Kluyveromyces lactis: one gene and its partner. The protein of the gene in region 2 interacts with the protein of the main gene of each other region in a pairwise test. Links are inferred from orthologs where the notes say so. Each region holds a gene or a part of one and is shown on either strand. Other genes may lie near its edges.

Region 1 (2,851 bases), on a different chromosome or scaffold from region 2:
AACTATTGGCAAAGGTGAAGAAGGATCCTATATATATGTTCGGAGGTGCCCTTTCAATCCCAAGCTCTTTGAAACAATGTCAATTATCTTTCAAAGCTTCGATGCCGGTACTTTATCAACTACTAGAACTTCGACGTACTCTTAATGGTCTACTTGACGCACTAGGGACTCTGTCAAATTCAGCTTAAGAACTTTATAATTGCTATGGGAATGATCTTATATCAGAGTTAATACAAAAGAAAACTATCTGTACAATTGCTAATTTGGAAAGAACAGTTTACTGGAAACGAAAATAACGTTGGATGGCGCCAATTGAAAGACGTACAATGAGTGTATATCTGTACACATGCAGATTGGGGATTAATTATTAATAAATGAACGACGAAGGGTTAATCTGTATCAAAAAGAGAGCTGATTTCAGTAAATGCAATAACGAGTGAAAGATGGGTATATTTTCTTGAGAACAATTGTGAAAGTGAATGGAATGGCCCTGGCCACGGGTGAAGATCATAGAATAGATTTATAGTAAATGTTTGAATTTCTAGCGTAGGAAAACTCACTAGAGCTTTCATCCAATGACGATCCAGCATCACTAGGCTGTAGATAGCATAATAAAACATCATCAACTGACCTTCTGGTTCTTGGAGAGTCTAAGTATTCTGATGGCCTTAAAATTGGTGTCAGAATTGGATCAGAGTTTCTTTTCAATGAGTGCTTTGGTGTAATTGATTTTTTTGGTACTGATTTCAAGTCATCCAAAAGCATAGTCTCTAAAAGATCCGCAGAATTTACTGGTGTTTCCCATTGGAATTTGTCTATTTTCTTGTCTCCCGTTTCAGGTGTTGATACCTGGAGGATTGATTGTTCTTCTAGCAAAGTTGGGAACTGATAGTTTTTTAGGAAATCGACATCTACTTCACTGGCATCTGATTGAGAATATTTATGCTTCAAATGTGTCTTCTCTAGGGTAGTTAATTTTGAAATGGAACGCATATGCGAATCGTTTAGCAAGGAGGTAGCCATTGTTGAAGTTGATGTCACTCTTTGGTTCGAGTACGTACTGGATCCAACCGAAGAACGTTTTGTAGATGACCCTCTAGAAACCAGATGGTGTTTAGCATATGGAATTGCATCTGTTACGAAAGCTTTAGTCATTTGCGTTGGGGAATTGATTGTTGAGTTTGTCGGAAATTTGGTATTTTCCGGTATATCCTGTAAGTGACTGTTAGATGGTGGTGGTGAATCTGCAGTAGGCATTTCAAATCCTGCCTTAGAATCTGCATGTGAGATGTGATTAAATCCAAATGGGACAGAAATTTTTAACTTAGGAGGTTCTTCTTTACTTGATTTATTTTGAAACAGTTTTAAGAGGCTGTTCTTCTTCTTCTTGAAAGATTTCTTTCCAGATTGTTTATCATACGCATTTGGCGGCAATGGAGGAAGATTAATGTTTTTCCTATTACTTAAGACAGGTTTATCACTATTGATCATTACAACGCCCAATTCATCATCATCGTCAGAATCCAGAAGCTGGTGAGCTTGTAAACCATATAATTTTTCTGTTTCATCGTCTTCATCGAGCCAGATCGACTTGATCTGAGGTACGTTCATCATAAGTATTGGCCCAGATCTGTTGGTTGTTTTATTCGGCAATGCCTGGTTTCTGATGATTCAAATCATGGCCTTTGTACCCTGGATCATGTTTATCCGTTTATATATACATATATCGGCCGCGTCCACAGTGGTAATGTTTCATGCATTCCTAGGTTTCACAATTTTCTGACATTTTTCGCATCTATGGTTAACTACTACTGGATTCAGTTAATTTAGGAATTCCTATATTAGGTAAAAACACGATTTTTCATTTTCGCACCCTCTTCAGGAATGCAGATACGTTTCGTTGATCGAAAATTAATGTTTTCTAACCTCTCTAATTCACCATCGCCAATCCGGTTTTTTCTTTTTTCTTGGGTTTCATGTCTTCTTTTTTTCTTTTGGCGGCCGTTATTTTTTCTCAAGTTTCTACGGCTTTTTTTCGTGGGTTAGATAAGTCATTAGTTGACCCAACATGGTTACCAATTACGACTATTTCACATTTTTACTCCATAGACTTTCTAGACTCTTAGAACTGGCGGTTCTAGGTTCCTCGGACTCTTTGGAAAAGCTTGGTTGGGGTGTGTATTCATCGGAAATGCTCAAACTATTGAAAGAAATTTCAATGAACTCAGAAAAGTCTTTCACTATCGCATTATTCTCGGAGTCATCTGCTGAAATCGATGTCGGGGTGAGATTTACGCTCAATTTTCGTCTGTTGGTTGAATCCATTCTCGGTATCACTGGCCTAGTACCTGCTCTATAATCTCTCTCCATTGCAAAATTCATATATTTGATTTTATCCAATTCTTGGTTCGATAACGGTTCTGTAACAAAAGCCCTAGAGCGCTTGGAAAGGAATGTACTATTATTCGTTCTTGCAATATCAGGTGTCGTTGGACGACCAGCCAATAAGTTTTTAATGTCATCGCATTCGCTCAAGGACTTCTCTATACGTTGTTCCCAATTTTCTTTCCGTTTATCCTTCAAACTGCTTCTTTTAAGAATGGAAGAGCGTCTCCATTTTCGTAAGTAACTCTTCACCTCGCCCATTTTAACTTTGTGTGGCACTTGTTTTCCCAAGTTACTGCCTTACGTACTGTCTGTGTTTTTTATATAATAGACCGTTTCTATGTAAGGCGGTTTATGATTCGAAGAAGAAAATCGTAAAGTCTCCAAGCTGGATACTTTTATACTCTTTTCAATAGCCGCTGAGCTTTTGATCGGATTTACACCATGTATGTGTTGCGGGTAACAG
Region 2 (3,286 bases):
TCTACGCCATTGGTCACACCCCTGCCACTAACATTGTTGCTGGTCAAGTTGATCTTGACGAAGCCGGCTATGTTAAGACCGTGCCAGGTTCCACTTTGACCAATGTCCCAGGTGTCTTTGCTGCTGGTGATGTTCAAGACGCCAGATACAGACAAGCAATCACATCTGCTGGTTCCGGTTGTATGGCTGCTTTGGATGCTGAAAAGTACATCACTGAATTAGAATAGATACACATTGATAAATTTGGTGAGATTCCCATATCAAAGCTTTGATATTATGTCTATATCTTATATATAAATATCATCGCGACTACTCCTTTAATTGAAATTTATGTTTGTTCCTAGTTTCTCAGCAGGAGGAAGATTTTCTTTCATTAGTCTATAAGGCTCACCTTTCCACCGCTAGTCCAATATCTTCTATACTCTCCCTTCCGAGTAGAGAAAAAAAGAATAAATAATGATAACATATCATCTTTACAGCTTATATTGATATATAGGAAAGATCAATAGAAAGTAGTTTAAAATAACAACTGTGTGGACATCGTTCTACAAGGTTCAGAAATGGCATTATTCAATGAGAATAATGTGAGAATGGAAAATAACATAAAAATTGGGTTGTTAAAAGGAATATAAATGGGAATGAAAAAAACAATTTCGAACCATTACACCCTAGCGTTTTCTTAATTTCAATGTGGCCACTTGATCTTCTAATTTCTTTACTTCGGCTTGAATCTTTTCCAAATCACCGTTCAGTTTAATTCTTTCATTCACAATGTTTTGTTCCCACTGTCTGAATCTTTGTTCTTCGGCCTTAACTTGATCAGTGAAGTATTTTTTTAGTGCGTTTTCTTCTTCTTTGAACTTTGGATTATGTGATAATTTTCTTGCTGGTGCAGCAACGAAGTTGTTCGCCGATTTTTCTCCTAGTTCGTTATCGTTAGACGATCCATTCAAATGAGATTCCAAACGTAATCTCCTATAGGTTTCGTAATGTAGCTCTTGAGTGGATAAGACAAGATCTAACAGATTTGTTCTCAACAACAACGATCTCAATTTGCGGAAATCACAGTGTTGATCATTCTCTACTTCCACTAACCCCCATGGATATTTTCTTGCAACAACTTTGGTACCACTACCGTTATCGAATTGTTCTTCTGAACCAACAATTGCAAATGGCATGGATTCAATTAGTTGTCTAGCATGTTCCATAGCGGCTGCATCATCCTGTGTCTCATTCAAAGGTGGTGTAAAGATACGAATCTCTTGTGCCTCAATGACCTGTCTAATTCTAAGCTTGAAATCTTGTAATTCCTGACTTGTCAAAGTATCAGCCTTGGCGATTACGGGAATTAAGTTAGCACGAGTGCTGATCCTCTTCATAGTTTCAATATCCAATGGTTTCAAACCATGTCCTGTAGGTCTGATAAAGTACAGTACAGCGTGTACTCTTAGATCAAATTTCACATCTCTGTATGGTTGTTGTTCTTGACGCATATAGGAATCGTGTTGATCGTCTATAAAATCAATGATCTGTTGCCACGATTTATCGTTATTGATGTTGTCACCAAACCCGGGAGTATCAATTACATTCACCTTCAAGGTAAAATTCTTCTCCTCTAGTTCTGCACGTAATATATCAATCTCCACGGTCTTCCTAATTGGCCCTTGCATCGAACGGCCTGTATGGGAGTCAGATGGCTTCAATGTTGCCTGGAACAACGTATTTATGAAGGTAGTTTTACCCAAACCACTTTCACCGCATGTTAACAAGGTGAATACTCCACCTTGTTTGGATACCAGCTTGTAGATCTGATTTGGTAAATTCGAGATTCCTACAAATTCTTCCGTGGTCATTGTTTCAAAGTTCCGTTGCAATTAATTGGTACCAATTATACTATCTTTTGCTGAAGCACACAATGTTATATTTGCTAATGAACAGAAGGTCAGATTGTTACTGCAGGTAGCTACGATAACTCCTGTAAACAAACTGTAATTCCAATTTCAATTTTAATATAGGCTTGTTTTAGCCAGTATTCTATATTTGAACAAAGTTTCGAATTGTTTCGTGTCGAGGAATCCTAGGTTCCCAGGAACATTTCAGAGATCTCTCGAGCAAAGAAGGGTAGGGTAATGAGAAGCGAGTCACGTGCTTTCCAATGTATATTCTGTTATTTCTCGAACCGTGGATCTATATAGTCATTAACATATATCAAACTGGTACATAGAAAGATAATCACTTTGCGTTAAATAACGGCAAATCTACTCTCACTGCTAAGTAGTGCCTTCCTACCTTTAAGGTATCGCTGTGTTACCAGCTTCTACATTTTGTAACTATGAGTATTATTTCCTTTACGAAGAAGCTTTTGAAGAGCCCGCCTAGTTTGACTCCTGCAGAATTGCACGAAGTTATCGTTTACATAATTGATACGCTATCGAAGGAATTTACTGTGGAAGCTGTGGTACCGATTGCCTCTTTCCTTTCAGTGTTGAGAGCAACTGGATTGGATCACAAAGCTGAATATATTGCAGCTGCTGCCTCGGCTGTGTTGAAGTTTTCAACTGTTGTCGATTCAACGACCTTGACTCATACTGATGATATTGTCTTAGATATCGTCGGTACAGGTGGTGACGGCCAAAACACTTTTAACGTGTCTACTTCTGCAGCCATTGTCGCTTCGGGCATCCCAGGCTTGAAGGTTTGTAAACATGGTGGGAAAGCATCGACTTCCAATTCAGGTGCTGGTGATTTGATCGGAGTTTTAGGTTGTGATTCATCTAAGGTGACTGCGTCGACTTTACCTAAAATTTGGGATGAAAATTCGTTCACATTTCTATTGGCTCCTTATTTCCATGACGGTATGAAACATGTCGCTCTGCTCAGGAAAGCATTGGGTATCCCAACAATATTTAATGTCTTGGGACCGTTATTGCATCCTGTATCCCATGTTCAAAAAAGAGTTCTAGGTGTCTTCTCCAAGGAATTGGCACCTGAGTATGCAGAAGCAGCAAGACTTATCTATCCTGACAGTGAAACATTCGTCGTTTGGGGTGAAGTTGGTCTCGATGAAGTATCACCTGTAGGGAACACTATTGTTTGGCATGTGACCTTGAATGGTACCGTCGAATCATTCTCTATAAACCCGTCAGATTTCGGTTTACAAGAGCATACTCTTGCAGAATGCCCATCGTTGGGCCCTCGCGAGAATGCAAGGATACTATCTGAAGAAATACTGTCAGGCAATTACAAGAAAGGTGAAAACCCGATCTACGACTATATTTTGCTAAAT

Evidence for each region.
Region 1: the proteins of CDC12 (region 2) and GIC2 interact in binary tests that used the Saccharomyces cerevisiae proteins (3 or more experiments, as listed by UniProt). The link is inferred for Kluyveromyces lactis from reciprocal best matches to the Saccharomyces cerevisiae genes CDC12 and GIC2.

What each region holds. Positions count from the first base shown.
Region 1 is NC_006039.1:1,288,621-1,291,471, reverse strand, and holds GIC2 (Gic2p), read right to left. Parts: upstream 1,615-2,851; coding exon 508-1,614; downstream 1-507. Other genes in the region: VMA22 (Vma22p), read left to right, coding at 1-188; KLLA0_C14740g (uncharacterized protein), read right to left, coding at 2,086-2,646. UniProt on the Saccharomyces cerevisiae protein: Required for cell size and shape control, bud site selection, bud emergence, actin cytoskeletal organization, mitotic spindle orientation/positioning, and mating projection formation in response to mating pheromone.
Region 2 is NC_006041.1:1,924,628-1,927,913, reverse strand, and holds CDC12 (septin CDC12), read right to left. Parts: upstream 1,854-3,286; coding exon 669-1,853; downstream 1-668. Other genes in the region: KLLA0_E21605g (thioredoxin-disulfide reductase), read left to right, coding at 1-227; TRP4 (anthranilate phosphoribosyltransferase), read left to right, coding at 2,333-3,286. UniProt on the Saccharomyces cerevisiae protein: Septins are GTPases involved in cytokinesis that assemble early in the cell cycle as a patch at the incipient bud site and form a ring approximate 15 minutes before bud emergence, which transforms into an hour-glass shaped collar of cortical filaments that spans both sides of the mother-bud neck.